Linked DNA regions of Coturnix japonica. The protein of the gene in region 3 binds, or shares a complex with, the protein of the main gene of each other region. Links are inferred from orthologs where the notes say so. Each region holds a gene or a part of one and is shown on either strand. Other genes may lie near its edges.

Evidence for each region.
Region 1: the proteins of MIOS (region 3) and CASTOR1 are in contact, whole or in part, in a cryo-EM structure (PDB 9LVK), measured with the Homo sapiens proteins. The link is inferred for Coturnix japonica from reciprocal best matches to the Homo sapiens genes MIOS and CASTOR1. Residues at the interface, in NP_001357005.1 of Homo sapiens: Ala83, Asn84, Val109, Pro110, Lys111, His112, Ala113, Arg114, Asp134, Lys135, His136, Arg137, Asn184; in NP_001032755.1 of Homo sapiens: Val94, Ser116, Thr117, Tyr118, Gln119, Thr120, Asp121, Thr188, Tyr236, Leu255, Thr256, Ser257, Ser258, Ala295, Tyr296.
Region 2: the proteins of MIOS (region 3) and SEH1L are in contact, whole or in part, in a cryo-EM structure (PDB 7UHY), measured with the Homo sapiens proteins. The link is inferred for Coturnix japonica from reciprocal best matches to the Homo sapiens genes MIOS and SEH1L. Residues at the interface, in NP_001357005.1 of Homo sapiens: Arg279, Arg316, Ser317, Phe353, Glu354, Arg355, Ile356, Ser357, Leu358, Ala359, Trp360, Pro362, Leu366, Met367, Trp368, Ala369, Cys370, Gly371, Arg372, Leu374, Tyr375, Glu376, Cys377, Thr378, Glu379, Glu380, Glu387, Asp389, Ile390, Ala391; in NP_112493.2 of Homo sapiens: Met1, Phe2, Val3, Ala4, Arg5, Ser6, Ile7, Ala9, His11, Lys12, Asp13, Leu14, Ile15, His16, Asp17, Val18, Phe20, Phe22, His23, Gly24, Arg25, Met27, Trp47, Ser173, Ser174, Ser175, Asn230, Leu231, Gly232, Arg233.

Annotation. Positions count from the first base shown.
Region 1 is NC_029530.1:9,678,213-9,683,817, reverse strand, and holds the start of CASTOR1 (cytosolic arginine sensor for mTORC1 subunit 1), read right to left. Parts: upstream 3,467-5,605; 5' UTR 3,386-3,466; coding exon 3,273-3,385; intron 3,192-3,272; coding exon 3,121-3,191; intron 1,456-3,120; coding exon 1,262-1,455; intron 1,164-1,261; coding exon 1,031-1,163; intron 835-1,030; coding exon 711-834; intron 333-710; coding exon 225-332; intron 154-224; coding exon 71-153; intron 1-70. Other genes in the region: TBC1D10A (TBC1 domain family member 10A), read right to left, coding at 5,094-5,486. UniProt on the Homo sapiens protein: Functions as an intracellular arginine sensor within the amino acid-sensing branch of the TORC1 signaling pathway. As a homodimer or a heterodimer with CASTOR2, binds and inhibits the GATOR subcomplex GATOR2 and thereby mTORC1.
Region 2 is NC_029517.1:87,392,857-87,397,214, reverse strand, and holds part of SEH1L (nucleoporin SEH1), read left to right. Parts: intron 1-1,471; coding exon 1,472-1,522; intron 1,523-1,908; coding exon 1,909-2,055; intron 2,056-3,028; coding exon 3,029-3,240; intron 3,241-4,162; coding exon 4,163-4,261; intron 4,262-4,358. UniProt on the Homo sapiens protein: Component of the Nup107-160 subcomplex of the nuclear pore complex (NPC). The Nup107-160 subcomplex is required for the assembly of a functional NPC.
Region 3 is NC_029517.1:22,614,749-22,620,633, reverse strand, and holds the start of MIOS (GATOR complex protein MIOS), read right to left. Parts: upstream 3,679-5,885; 5' UTR 3,428-3,678; intron 3,374-3,427; exon of another isoform or gene 3,291-3,373; intron 2,126-3,290; 5' UTR 2,056-2,125; coding exon 759-2,055; intron 555-758; coding exon 456-554; intron 1-455. UniProt on the Homo sapiens protein: As a component of the GATOR2 complex, functions as an activator of the amino acid-sensing branch of the mTORC1 signaling pathway. The GATOR2 complex indirectly activates mTORC1 through the inhibition of the GATOR1 subcomplex.

The DNA.
Region 1 (5,605 bases), on a different chromosome or scaffold from region 3:
GGTGGTGGAGGAGGGGTCCCCTAATCCCTGCACCCCCCTGCAGACCCATGGTGGTGGTGGTGGCACTCACCGAAGCCCAAGGGCTGCCCACCGATCCTCACCATCCGCCAGAGCTCCCCACTGGAGCTGGTGAGCAGCAGGTCACTGGGGAACCTACAAAGGGGGAAACTGAGCATGGCAGACCCCCAGTGCTGGGTGGGGGCACCCGCGGATGGCAGCCCTACCGCTTCTGGGTCTCTGCATCCATCACGATGGAGATGTAGCCCTCGATGAGAGAGAAGGAGAAGAAGGTGATGGAGTCGAGGTCAGCAGCACTGGGTTCCTTGGGGGGGCTGCGGGTAGAGGATGGCACAGGGACCCCAAATCAGGAGGAGGGTGTCATTGGGACGGCTCCAAAGGTGCCACTGGTGTCAGCCAGGGGTGCCTCAGGATGGGAACAGGGTTGGGAAACTCGGGCAGCTGAGTTTGCAGGGGGGGTGCCCACCCCATTTGCAATAAAAAACCCTTTTCTCTTTTGTTTTGCATGGCTGCAATGCATGGCTTGTCCCCCCCATATGGTGACACCAGGGCTCCTGTCCACAGAGGTGGCAGCAGGACCGGCAGCAACCGAGGGTGACCAAAAGTCAGCAAAGTGCACCCCGAGGTCAAAAAGGGGATGAATGAGTGAGACCCAAAGGGGTGACACCGATGTCCCCAGCCCCGTCACTCACCTGTGGGAGTAGAAGAGCACATCGATGAGCATGGTGGCGATGGCAGGCAGCGTGTCGGGTGCCACCGTCAGGATGCAGAAGCGGTTCTGGGGGCTCTGCACGGGGTGCAGCGTGGGGCTGGGGGCTGCGGGGCAGAGGCAGCGATTGTCACCGGGGCCTTTGGGGACAGCACCGCAGTGCCACCACGTGGCCACCGGGCCAGCGGCGTCCCCTGGGGTGCCAAAAAGGCAGGGGTCCCCAAAGCACGGGGGGTGTCTGCAACGGAGCGTCCCTTGGGCACTGGGGACGGGGTGGCCTTGGGGACATCAAGTGACGCTCACCCGACTTGGGCTTGAGGAACCCATTGCTGGCATCATCACAGGGGACTGGGATGGATTCACCGTTCTCCTCCTTGTAGATGTCGAACTCCCCGGCCAAGGTATGAATGACCACAGGCAGGTCCCGCTCCCGCACCTGGCAGCGGCGCGGCATCACCGTGGCTGTCCCCAAAGATCAATGGGGTCCCCACCATCTCCCACTCAGCCCCATGGCACCATCCCCACTGAGCTCACCAGGATGAAGTCGGTCTGGTAGGTGGAGAGCATCAGCACCGAGACGTGGTGCTCGGCCAGCGGCGCGATGACGGAGCGGGCGATCTTGGTGACACCGGTGGCCTGGCAGCCAGAGGGAGCGCAGCCATTGGAGACAACGCTGAGCACCAACCAGGTGGAGTCTGCCACCTGCATGAACTCGGAGGGCGGCAGCTCTGTGTGGGACAGGGAAAACTGAGGTATGACACGGGGCTGTGCTGTGTCCCCAACCCCAATGGGACCCCGCTGAGAGGGGACAGTGGGTCCCAGTCTATTATGGGTGCTGGAGGGGGCAATGGCTTGATCTAAGGGATGCAGGAGGGGATGCTGAGGGTGGCTGCCCTCTGCCTGCAGGCAGCAAAGACATCGTGCACCACAGGGTGTAACGCTGCGTACATCCCTGCTCTGATGGCACTGCAGGATGCTGAATGCCAGCATACAGGGACATGAGTCAGTGCTGTCCCCATGCAGCAAGGGGCAGCCCCACACACAGGGCTGGGAGCGCTGATACTGGGAGCAAACCTTCCAATCTGGGATGTGCCTCTCGTCCTGCACCTGCAGGGCTGGCCACGAGTGGGTGCAGCACACTGAGACCCCGGGGCTGTGCACATCTCCCACCCCATCCTCTGCCTCCCGTGTCACACCGGAGGGGATGTGGGATGTCCTCACACCGTGCCCGGCTCTGACAAGCCGTAATCCCTGAGGCTGAGCCCATGCTGGCAGTAGACCAGGGCTGCCTCCCAAAAAGCTGCTGTTGTTGGCAGGGAATGAGTGTGCCGGCCGGTTCCTTCCTGCCCCACGCCCGCTCCCCAGGAAGGAACGGATCGGGGCCACGTTGTTCCTTCGGCACCCAATATCTCCGGGTGGGCACCCCCAGACCTCACTGCCCGCTGCTCAGCAGCAGCCATTCAGTAACAGGCTGAGACCACCCCGCTCACTGCAGCGATGAGGGAGGAGCGAGGCCAGATGTGAAGGTCCCAAGCGCAGGGTGCTGGCAGCTGCTTGTTCCTGCACAGGAAGCCTTCCCGGGGACGGGGACCGCGGTGCCGCGTCCCCACTTAATGGCTTTTCAACACCCGTGGGCTGCAAGGGGGGCTGCGATCATATGGGTGCCCCCAGATGTCCCCGTGCCTTGGGGAGCAGCGGGCCCCAGAGCCTCACCCGGCCCCAGAGCCGTGAATTGTAACCCGGGGGTGCAGCGCGGCCCCATGGGGTGCCTGGGGGTGCTGGCAGCCCCCCAGCCCGGCGCCGTGCAGCGCCTCACAGCCATTGTTTGCCGCTTCCCGCCCGCCCCTCGGGATCGAGGAGCATTATGTCCAAAAGGTCCCGAATAAAACAATGCGTGGGGATCGGCCCCGGTTCCTCCGGGCAGCGGTGGGGAGCTGGGCTGCAGCCGGGTGGGAGCGTCGCATTGCGGCCGAGCCACTGACCTTTGGTCCTCAGGGCGTGAGCAGGAGATACAGCCCGGCCGGGGGGGGGGGGTCTGGAGCAGAGGATGGGGTCAGGATTGACCCCCAGCACAGCCCGTGGGGTCAGACTCCACAGCAGGGCTGCACACAGAGCGTCACTACACAGCGATGTCACCCGGTGCCACCTTCCAGGGACAGGGACTCAAAGACCCTCAGCACGGCCCGGCAGCGGGATGCGGGGAAGGGCAGCACTCCCACTCCCCGCCCCGTCCCATTGCGGAGGCTCAGCCGCGTCCCCGTGGCTTTAGGCAGCACCGGAGCTGCCAAACAGGGAGAACCTGAGCAGGGCAGTTCCCTGCCGGCCGCTGACCGCACAGCTCCGAGCATCGCCGGGCTGAGGCCGGCCACAACTCATGGCCGCAGTGTCGGTACCTTTGAAGCCCTCCTCGTCCAGCATGATGGTGTAATCCTCGGGGGTCTCGGTCAGGCTGAAGAACTTACACCTGCCGGGACACAACGCGGTGCGGTGGGACCGAGAGGAGGAGGAGGAGGAGGGAGGGGGGGGTGAGGAAGGGGATCGGTACCTGCAGCGCTGCGGCAGGAAGAGCAGTTTGAGCAGCGGGTGGGTGTAGAGCCACAGCCCGCGGCGCGCCAGGGACAGCACCCGCACGCGGTGCTCCAGGATGTGCAGGTCCATGGCGGCCGCGCCGCGACGGGACGGGGCTCCGTGGGGCTATAAGGGCCCAACGGGACCGGACCGCCCCGTCCCGGCACCGCCCCGGGCTGCGGGAGGGGCACCCGCCCGCCCCGCCCCGTCCCGTAACGCGTTGGGGCGCTCTCGGCCCGTATCCATCCAAGTCGGGGTAGGGGGGGGGGTCGGGATCCGCTGAGTTCACGGGAGGGGAGGTGTGCGGGAACCAGGGTTCTGCCCCGCAGCCGCTTCGTGGGCAGAGGGATTTGGGGAAGGGGGGATGGAAGTTCTTGCACCATTCCTGCCTGCAGGGAGCACCATTTTGTACGTGGAAAGCAGAGAACGGAGGCTGCGGGGGGGGGGAGCGGAGCTGCTCCCGGTTCTGCTGCGAGATGGGCAGCCGGCCGAGCTGCCCCGGGGCTGGAGGTGACCTCCAGGTGCGTCAGCACAGCTCGGCGTCTCTCATCTGCGCTTCAAACAGCGTTGGGCCCCGGGGCTGGGAGGGGCAGCGAGGCGGTCACCTCCCTGCTGTGTCCCCAATGAACCCCTTTACAGGACGCTGCAGGACACCGGGGTGGGATAAAGGACGGTCGCACATCATCAGGTGGGATGCACGAGAGAAGTTCCCCCGCAGTTATAGGGATGCTGCCACTGAGTGATGCCACCTCTGACCCCGCAGCCACCACCAGGCAGGGAAGGGAGGCCCCAAACCACACTGCGTGCACACAGCAAGTGTGAGCAACAGCATGGAGGGGATGGAGGGGATGGAGCACCCCTGTCCCCCGCCACGGCACCCAAAGAGACGTTGAACCCACGGAGCCGCACACGCTGCGCCTTTACACAATCCTGCTTTATTTCCCCTTTGTACAAAACCACGTTGCCCCGCTGTATTTTACAAAGCCTCCCCCTGCCCACGACGCAGGGTAGGGGGGAAGAGAGGGGACCCCGCAGCAGGCAGCACCCCCAGCCCCGGCTCACCTCGGCCCTGCAGGGCACGGGGTCTGCCATCCAATCCTGCTGCCTCCGGTGCGTCCCGCCTGCAGTTCCCAACCTCGGCCCCCGGCCTGCAAGAGTTACTGCCATGGAGGAATAATAAATAGGCTCAGTGAATAGGTAAATTCATACTACATATTGGGCTACAGCTTGATACATCCTCACTAGATAAAGAGGGGGGGGTGGGGAGCAGAGGCTGCTCCCAACTCCTCACGTACCCCCAGCCCCAAACAATGGGGAGCTGGGTCTGGGTTTGCCCCAACAGCATGGGGTGGGCAGGGGATGGGGGGAGGGTTGCAGGGGACGTGGGGTGATGGGATGAGGAGGGGGGGGCTCGTGCCTGGCCCCTGAGGGGCGGCGGAGGAGCTCAGGTGGCTCAGCCACCCTGTGCCAGGGCTCCAACCACTGAGGTGCCAGCACCCTGCAGGGCTGGGGACAGCACGGCTGGATGCACCGCCATGTCACCGCGCTGGGTTGAGCTCCCACTGGTCACCCCACGGGACCCTAATTGGGCACCCAGCCGGCGCCCCCACGGTGCCACACGAGCCCACATCAGCCACGTCCTGCTCCCTCCAGCCCCGAGCCCCCGTTGCCAGGCGCCACGAGGGTCCCCTCCCACCCTGGGGTCCCCCCTCCTGCCCTCGGCCGCAGAGGGAGCAGCGTCCTGGAGCCCGGGTCCGAACACAGCCCAGCTGAGCCCGGCCGTGGGGCCGCGCCGGCCCTACAAGTACGTGTCCTCGCTCTCCCGCGAGCACAAGCTCTCCTTGGACTGGTGGTGGGGGGAGCTCTGGGGGTGCAGCAGCTCACGGGCAGCACCGGGCGCCCCATTGCCCTCAGCCCCAGGGCTGCTGGTGGGACTGACTGAGGCCTTCTCACGGTTTTTCTCCTTGCTCTTACGGGCCTTGGGCACCGGGGCAGGCCCAGATGGGACGATGATGGAGGGCACGGGCTCCAGTGCCTTGCGGGTGGGGGGCTCGGCCTCGCTGATGGCCTTGGCACCGTGCAGGCGCGGGGGGGACTTGCACTGCAGCTCCCCATGTGTCTCACGCCACTTCTTCAGCTGGATCAGGTGCTCCCTCTCGATCTGCCGCTCCGTCACCGGCAGCTCAATCACCTGCAGGGAGAGCTGTGCTCATAACGTCCTTCCCTCAGGGACAGCAGCACCCTCCAGGAGCAGAGGAACCCCTAAACCCAGGTCTATGGGGTCATGAGCTCTGCCCACCCATGGGCACC
Region 2 (4,358 bases), about 65 Mb from region 3:
TGTTTGGTGGCCCTGCCAGGCAGGGGGGTTGGAACTACATGATCCTTGAGGTCCCTTCCAACCCGGGTCATTCTGTGATTCAGGGCTGTTCTCACACATCTCTCAGCCCTCTTTCCCAGCTGCTGCTCTGTGGCATTATTTCTCTTCCTTAAATCTGTTCTCTAAGTGCACAACCAGCATCACTCAACTCTGGTAGCGTTGGGTCCTGTTGGAGCAGCTGGAGCTCTGAGCTGACGTGGCGTACGACTGGGCTGTGCTCACACAAGCCGCCCTGCAGCACCCCAGTACCAGAACCCTGCTATGTGAACCCAGTATGCATGCAAAAGGCTTCTTCTTTCTGATCATGTGTTAAGAAACAAACAAAACCATCAGTTTTTCTCAGAGAGTGGTCAGGCACTGGAATAGCCTGTCCAGGGCGGTGGTGGAGTCGCCATCCCTGGCAGTGTTCAAGAGGTGTCTGGATAGGGAGCTAGGAGATATGGGTTAGGGGTTTTTCTATAGGTATGGTAAAGGGAGGATGGTTGGACTAGATGATCTTGTAGGTCCTTTCCAACCTTGTGATTCTGTGATTCTGTGAACAGCAACAGGAAAAAAGAAAAAGCAACCCAGCCCCAAGGAGTGAGCCAACAGCCTTTGATCGGGCTGAGTGTGTAGAACTTGAAGCCTAAAAAGTAAGACACCAAGATGTAGGTAGATCTTCTAGAAACCACACCTTTAACCACGTAGTGTAGCTTTCCAGTTATAACAGAGTCTTTAATGAGACTGTTGAGAAGTTTTACGGCCATGTTATTTTTGATGTAGGTCCCACCCTCCACAAATGGGCCCTGCAGAACAGCAGCTGCACAGAAGTTGCAGCATTTCATGGCTGATACGATTGGTGGCTTTTCTTACATCAGGGTGATAAACAGAGAATAGGAGGTTGCGTTACCTGTTTGTGGTTCATAGATCAATTTAGAAATATTAGAAGCAATGATAAGATCTTTTACCCCATTTTGTACCACTAGATTTGTTTTGTTTGCTGCCTTGCTTTGACTTGCAGTCACAATCCACAATCTCTGTAGATCCTCTCCCATAGAGCTGTTCTGTTCTGTCTGAGGTGACAGCCAGGAGCCACGTCAACATTTGGGGACCACATCTGAGCTTGTTGGGATGGCTGCAATAACACAAAGTGATTTGCTACTGGGATGTAATGTCAAAATGAAGTATTGAACACTACCATAATGTCTCCTTGTGAGCAGTACGTTGTTTAAAAATGACAGACTTCACATGATGGTGGATTTTGCAGGCGTGTGCCTGTTCTTCATATCGGTAGGAAGGAAGTTGAGTGTAGTGTAGTTGTGTAGTGTGCCAAGATTATTCCAGATGAAAACATCCAATAGTAATTTCCCTTTTCTGAGTGGCTGTGTTTTCTGTTATTATCTAGTGCACTTATCTACAAATTATATGATTGTCTTCTGTTTTTTTTCAATAGGTCTGGGACAAGAGTGAAAATGGGGATTGGCATTGCACTGCAAGCTGGAAGGTTTGTATTAATAGTCATTACGCAGTAATGCTGTGATCTCTCTCTTTCTTTTTGTAGAGCTTTTATACTCCATTTCTCCTGTCAAGACAGAATCTTAGTTGGCAACTATTTTTTTTTGAGCGTAGGATTTGAAAGCAATAATGAGCAGTACCTAGATGTGCTCTTCATTACCTTGTAACAGTTAAATAATAGCAAAACTTTACAGAAATTAACGAATTCAGCCATTGCTTTGAACTTTGTATAAGAATTTAGGCACCACAGGAATGGTCACACTGCTTCAGACTGCTTACTTCTGTTTTACAGCCACAAAAGTGTGTGGTAAGCCCTTCATGTTCCCCTGCAGTAACGTGTTTCTCTGTACTGTCCCATTCTGTGTTATCTTGCAGACACACAGCGGCTCTGTGTGGCGCGTGACATGGGCCCATCCTGAATTTGGGCAGGTCTTGGCCTCCTGCTCATTTGATAGAACGGCAGCTGTGTGGGAAGAAATAGTGGGAGAATCCAATGATAAACTGCGAGGCCAAAGTCACTGGGTAAGATTTTAACGTGTTAATTACAGTTCTTACATGTGCCCATAAAAACAGGTTTGCTGTTCCTTGTTGATTTGTTTGCTTATTGTATTGGACTGAAGCTTTAAACTGTCTGAACTCCAGCATTACACAGAAGGCTGAACATGAAGTTGTTGTAAATACCGTTTGCTGGACGTCTGGGAGTCTGCAACATATATGCTATTCCTGAAACAGATTGCAGGAGGTTTTCTTCTCTAATAGAAAGTGTCCTTGACTTTAGTGTGTTTTGTTCATCTGTGGCAGTGTTCCAAAATAGAAGGAGTACTATCAGGACTTCTGGACAGACAGCAAAATGGCAACATTCAGACCAGTTAGTGTCACTAATATTGGTATTTTTAGGTGTTCTGCAAACCTGCAGACGTGAATCCCATACGTGATGGAATTGAAGTTGTAGGTTATTTTATTCTTCATTTATCTGAAACCATCTTGTGCCATTCTTTTTCCTCTTTGAAACTGTAGCTCAGGTTTGGAGAATAAAATGTTTTGCTCAGAAGTGGATTTTCTGGGTAGCATTTCACAGGGGGAATTTCTATAATAGATTTTATTTTTTTTTTTTTTTGCAGATACTCAGTCTTACAAATGTACTGTTCCTCCAGTACTGTATTCTACCTTCAGTTATCTGCAATTTTCTACTTTGTACTAAAGCTTCCCAACATTGAAGTTTGGAAGTTTAATCTAAACAACTTCTGTTGCTCTCAGCACTTTGATATCACAGTGTGTTTGTCCTTGCTTGAAATGGCAACAGTGCTGTACTCTGTTCTTTTTCCCATTAAGTCGGTGTATAAAGTTATTCTCGTTCTGGATGGAAGAGGTAAATGATGCTATGAAGTGGTATTATCAGACTTTCACTAGCTTCTGGGCAACGGGACTAAAGTCAACAAATTAGGAAAGGCATTTCAGATGGAGACTTCCAAGGGTTTCTGCCTTTCTTTTGCAGGTAAAGAGGACCACTCTGGTAGACAGTAGGACATCTGTTACAGATGTGAAGTTTGCTCCCAAGCACATGGGTCTTATGTTAGCGACTTGCTCAGCAGATGGAGTTGTAAGGATTTATGAAGCCCCAGATGTGATGAACCTCAGTCAGTGGTCACTGCAGCATGAAATCTCATGTAAGCTAAGCTGCAGTTGCATTTCGTGGAATCCTTCAAGGTATGTTAAAGCTGAAGGTGTTGCTTTATGACTGTGTAAGCAGAAGATCCAAAATGTTCATTATGGAAGTGTTAGTTCAGGGAAGTGTTATAGAACGTCATTCTGTCCTGTGAGGTTCTATTCACATCTTAATTACAAATAGTGATGAACAAGCTAAAGAACTGCAACGTGCTTTCTTTATCCCACAAAACTTAGCTGAGTGTTTCCTAAGGAAAAGTGTTTATGAAGAGAGCGTTCCCATGTCTTTGCTTCAGGAAGTTGTCACCATAGGTAACAAGGATGTGCACCCTTAGCAGTGCTAGGAACCACAGGTTTTACTAACACAAAGCCTAAGGGTTGTATTATTCCTTTAGTTGTATCTTCAGGGGCTCAGTCATGATTTAACCTACTTGGTCAGAAAGAGACCAGAGGAATGTGATGGTTGGGTTGTCCCCACCCTGAAGAATACATAAGTCATCTGTCCTAAAGGTTAAGAGTATAGGCTTTATCTCTACATCACCCTCAGAAGCTGTGCTAAAAGTTGATTTAAAAACTAGTGCTCGTATACCTTTTGTAACTGGTTTTCCAGAATCTGAATGAAACCCCCCTAAATCAGTCACTGCGAGTACTGCATTGGATGCGGATTCTGCCATATTCCTTAGAGCAAACTTCACTGCAAACACATCTATGAATTTAATCTCGATGTCTGGGGGCATCTGTTGTCCTGAACTAAATTCCAAATAGTGTCCCTTAATGGTTTATCTTTATTTGTTGTATAAGGTAGACATTCAAGAGAACAGAGTTGAGGTAGTACTGGTAACTATGAATGATACTTTGTATTTCTTTCTAGGCAATCTTTTTGTTTTATATACAGGTGTGTCTTAAATTTTGGAAGTTACTTGTGAAATAATTAGTAACAGAATTTGTATCTTTTTACTTCCAGCTCCAGAGCACATTCTCCAATGATAGCTGTCGGAAGTGACGACAACAGTCCAAATATATTGGCTAAAGTTCAGATTTATGAATACAATGAAAATACCAGGTATGCTAAATAACAGTGTATTTATGGGATCTTAGAATAGCTTGTAATGTCCAGCCTTCTGTTTCGTTCCTGTTGTTCCTTATGGAGTGAAGGGGGA
Region 3 (5,885 bases):
TGAGCGTAAGAGGCATAATAAGATACACAATGAACGACTGCCACTTCAAAAAAAGGTAGCTTCTTTAAACATACAAATGTACTTTGGCTACAGTAAAGTCAGCTTTCTACAACTACGCTCCCATGTGAAACTCCAAAAAACACAACAGTTATGCAGGCAGCAACACTTTTTGGTGCCATAGTCAACAAGTAAATGTTTGAAATAGGTCAGTTGAAGTTCTGCCTCTGAGGTTATTTTGTTCTTCTGATGAGCTTCAAAGAAAACAAAAAAATCAGGAAGTTACTGTAATATAAACTGTTCACTTTCATTTCTGTACTTACAACATACATTAAAACACAGACTGAGAGACTTTATGTATTTCTACAGCCTCCTTCAACAATTTTTAAAGACAAACACGAGTGCTTCATTTTGTAAATATATTGTAATATAACTTATCAAAGTTGCAACATTCTTACCCAAAGATGACTTCACAATTGACTTAATGCCAGCATAAACTAGGGGACCCTTGTTTCCTGTAAGTTTTTGATCCATATCTTCAGTATACTGCTTCATAAGTATTAACACGTATAGGAAGCTTATTTTCTTTCCAAAGAATTTGAAAAAACACTTCTTTAAAGTTAAAACTCACATTCTGTTAACGCAGGCCTTTTACAGCACATTACACTGCATTTAGACCTTGAGGCATTTCACACAACTGGTTTACACGTAAAGGGTGCATTACTTCTTTAAAATATAAACCACGGTAAAATAAAGGATATAGTGCAGGGTGTACCAAAGTGATTTCAGCTGAGGATCTTCATTTCCAGCTAGGAGGTGATTTCTCCAAACTTGTTCAGTATCAAGACCATACCTTGATAAAGCTCGGAGCCGCATTTTGGTGGCTATATCCTTTTCCAAGGAGCTGGCCTTTCCTTCTTCTGTACACTCATATAAATGGCGTCCACAAGCCCACATTAAGGATGTCACTGGACTCCATGCAAGTGAAATTCTCTCGAAAACCGTGAAGTCGGACATAGTTCTATTGGGAGTCACAACCACCATTCGATTTTGACTTGTGGGATGCCAGGCAAATGAGGCAATGTAGTTTTCACACGGCTGGACGCTCCTTTCAATTATTGTAGGCTCAGTTTCATCTCCAATAGGCGTGGGAGTATGCTGCATGTCATACAGCCTAATGATATTACTGTCCCTTGTTAAAGTAGCTAACAGCCCAGTTCTTGTTGGACACCACGCGACTTTTGTTAATGGTTTTGGTTGCTCTGTCAAGGTCAAAACAGGCTTCTCAAACTTTCTTAAATCCCATATGGCAACTTGGCCTTCATAGAAGGAAGCTACACGATCATGGAAGTATGGATCAACAGTCACTCCTTGGACAGCCTTAGTATTTACAAATATTTTTTGGCTCGTATTCCTCAGATCAAAGATAGCCAGATTGCGATGCATTCCAGCTAAAAGAAGCTTCTGATCCCGTGGAAGCCAACAAAGGGAGAGACAAGCATCGTTCTGCCCTAATTCATACAGTGGCTTTGTTACCACCAGTCCTGCTTCCGGATCTCCTGTCGAAAGTCTCACTTTCTCTGTAGCAACTGCAGTCTCTGGAGCATATTTACTACTGATATCCCAGATCAATACTGAAAAGTCAGCCCGATGTTTGTCTAATCCAGCAGCAAGCCAATTACTATCTAGTGGGTTCCATGCCAGGGTGTTGCACTGCCGTGCATGCTTGGGAACAAACTCTTTTCCTATCAAATCTTTATATTTTGAGTTGTGATCTTGACCAAGGCTGGTAAGCACCACCCGACCATTGGCCTGTCCAACAGCAAGAAGACATTCAGGATCATACTTGGGATACCAAGCCACACATTTCATATACGGTGTATCTGAATTTATTGACAACAGCGTGGCTGTAGTTTCTTCTGATAAACGCAAGGACCCTGCCTTGAGTTCTGAACTTACAGCAGATTCAATGTGATAAAGGCTCAACTCTGAGTCACACACAACAAAACGGTCGACATGGTGCGGGGCCCAAAGAATATCAGGTTTGGAGCCGCTCATTTTTAGGGTGAGTTCATCAACAACTTAAACTCTTGTAAGAAGATTCTGGTGACATCCATTCATACGAAAACTGTTGAGAAAATGATTCGTAGGAATGTTATAGAGAAACAAATTTCTTTTTCATCATTAAAAACAACAAGAATATTGTTCTACATTGTTTTTAGCCCAAGTTTATATTGTGCACACATTCAAGGCCAAAACTTTAAGCATTTCTCACATTAAGCCACTTTTTACATGACATGCCCTGTTTTTGCTCAGATACACTGACTGATGCAGAAAAAACACAGCAGTGTGTTCCATCTACAAACCAACAGCAGTATGTTTACAACCTCCATACCAGTATTGCTTGCTTATTATGGAAGAGAGCATTAACCCAAATGTGATGCAGCATGATGCGTGGGTGTGCTGCCAGAAAAGGGCCACTCCCTAAAACAGGTAGTAGAAAACATCTCTGCCTAATTGAATTGCGCTAATTCACAGATACTAGAGCCTGTCTGCCTTGTTTAACATCTCATCTATCACAGAATCACAGAGTGACCCGGGTTGGAAGGGACCTCAAGGATCATGTAGTTCCAACCCCCCTGCCTGGCAGGGCCACCAAACATACACCTTTACTAGATCAGGTTGCACAGGGCCCCGTCCAACCTGGTCTTGAACACCTCCAAGGACGGGGCATCCACAACCTCCCTGGGCAGCCTGTTCCAGGGCCCAACCACTCTCCTAGTGAAGAACTTCCCCCTAACATCCAACCTAAATCTTCCCTCTTTTAACTTAAAACCATTTCCCCTAGTCCTGCTATTGTCAGCCCTTTCGAAGAGTTTACTCCCCTCCTGGGTGTAAGTTCCCTTCAGGTATTGAAAGGCTGTAATGAGGTCACCCCGCAACCTTCTCTTCTCTAGGCTGAACAAGCCCAACTCCCTCAGCCTGTCCTCACAGGGGAGGTGCTCCAGCCCCCTGATCATCTTCGTGGCACTCATCTATAACCTACAAGGTCTTACCCTACTTTAAGATTTCTATAAAGCTTTACATGGTTCATCTCATTCTGCAGCTCCCAGCTCCACCTTCTGCCCCAGTGACACTAAATCTTTGCATGTGGCCTAGTAGCACACATAAACACGCTGTACTCTGATAGCCGCAGGAGCCATACGGCCAGAATCCTCACACATTACTACATACAAAGGAAACCTGTGATTCCAACAAGCTTTTCATAAGGCTGGGGAAAGGAAAAGATTTACCGGACTGGGAAAGAACAGAGGGAAGCAGTTGCTGCCTCGGGGCATCCCCTCATCCCCGCTGTGTGCTCTCAGCGCTCCCCTCCTCCCGCCTCAGCCCAGCCCAGCCTCCACCCGGTCCGGAGCCCGGCCCGCCTCACCGCTCTGTGGGTACGAGGAGCCGCCGGGGCCTGCAGAGAACCGGAGCCACCGGCCGCGGGGAACAGCCACAGCCGGGCCGCGCTTCCGGCTGCGGGGCGGAAGGGAAGGGAGAACAGCCGCACTTCCAGAAAGCTCCTTCCGCTGGTCGGGAACGCGCTCTGAGTTCCGGGTTAGGAGTGTGCGCAGCTGGTGTTAGTTCTGAGTATCAAATTAACGGCAATTTGTGCACTAAATCCCATCCGACCACTCCGAGCGTGCGGCCTAAAATGTGGGGAGGCACTAGGCTCCATCTGCTGGTCGTTGGATGAGGGCTAGCGCTCATCCTCACTGTCAACTTAGAACTTTTCATGGCTGACCCAGCCGAGGGATGGGGTGCCATTCAGAGAGCTGGGCAGGATGAGCAGTGGGACCAGCTGAACATCGTGAGGTTCATCAGATCCCAGTGCAGGTCTTATAGGTGTATTATGGCAACCTGCACTATCAGTACCATACGGGGGGTGTAAGGATAGAGCAGAGCCCTACCAAAAAATAATGGGGTCACTTGTGGAGTGAGCCAGCAGTGTGCCCTTGGAGCTGTGAAAGTGAAAATGGTCTCCAAAAATATCATTTGAGTTATTTCTCACAATCTGGGGGCTCGTCTGGGAGCCATCACCTTTCAGGGGTCTCTGACTACCATGGACAGGAGAGGTGCACCACACTGAGCTTAGTGGTCCCATCAGGAGTGGTGGGTACCTCCCCAGAACAGCTGACTAGAGACCAAAACTTTAGAGCCACACCATGAAAGTTTGAAAAAGGGGAGAAGGTATAGGCACAGAAATCGATACATAGACCTGTAACTTCGAGTGCAGACCAAGGTAAGAGAATTTTGACCAAAATAGGGGTCTGACAAAGATTGGGCTTGTCAGACTTTGAATTTATATGTAAACAGTAATACTCCTTTCTCTGAAAAAGAATCAGTATTGATTTCTCTAACTTCCCATTTTCCAAGTCACTTTCCCCATTCCAGTCTGAGCTGTTTATGACAGGGTTACATTAATCAAGGCTTTATAGTTTGACCAAGAAATGAGTATTTACTTTATGAGGATCAGACAGTAACAAAGGAATGGAAAGAGTTATTCCAGGAGATAATCTCTCTCATGAAACCTACCATCTCAGTCTTTTACTATCTTAGTCTTTAGCTTTCACTTTCTGTTACAAAGGGATGTGTGTTATACTCTTACATTGTAGGCTTATGTTATGTTATACATATGGCCCCTCTGTTTCACAGTAGTTTTGTTTACTAATTGTGTTCTGATTAAAGGCTGAATAAGGCCCATACTTATCACAGTGCATAATCGCGTAGATACACCAGAGGGCAGAATTTAGACAGCATAAATAATATCTCTTTATGTTATATTTTACACACATTTAATTTAATTTGACTCAGCAGCTAAATGATCATTTGCTTGGTATACAGCAGTCTTATTTTTGAAGACTCTATGTTGCATAAAGCATGAATAAGAATGTCACTGAATTAATATACCTCGGGCAGTAGAAAAGCTGTTTGATAAAAACCGTTTGAAGTGTGTACTTCAAATAGCTGTGTTTCCTAACAGGATAAAAAAAACTGCAATGTATTCCCGTGAATGTTGTCATTCTTATCGTGTGAAGAAAATACTGTAAATTTAAGGCATTCAAATCTGGTTAATATCACTGATCAAGCAGAACCAAAACATCTTCTGATACATTATATTCTTGTACTATATGATAGTCACCTTCTTTCTTGGTTTTATAGATCTGTATCATGTTCACCATCAGTTGTGGCCATCCAAGTGAAAGAATTGTATCCTTCTTGGCTCCCTTCATCCAGAAGCTCTCACATCTTTGTAGCCTTTCTGTTTCTTTTTATTTCTTCTGTGCCATTTGAGTCACTGTAACTCAAATATCAGACGGTATCCACATTCTCTCTGATCATGAATGATAGTGTAAAATTTATTGACCAATGTCTTATTATCCCCTGTTTCAGTCTGGTAGGGTTATCTACCCTGGTAATGGAGTTCTGAGAGGTGGAGTGTGAAAGGTCACTAGCTACAGTGGATACAGCGAGCTGCTATGGCACACTAGGGATAAAGTGCCTACGCTGTCTAAGAGGTTAAAGCTGTTTTGTGTGAAAGTTATGCCCAAAGGGATTTAGAACTTGCCATCTGTAAATTCATTTCTCAATTTAAAATGTACAAGGGAAGCTCTGAAGGTAATGCCTCCCATTTGGGCCTACTAGACATTTAAATACATTCATATCGCAGAATTTGAAGGTAATCTGAATGTTCAAATGCTCTGGATTTTATTACTTCTTTCCGTCCCTGATCATAACTATTATTATTTCTTTCAAGAAGAATAGAATGTTGTATCTGGATTTATATGTGCCTTGCAAGTTGTCTGTGAAACAATTAAACTGAAGCTGGTTTTCTTTGGATTGTA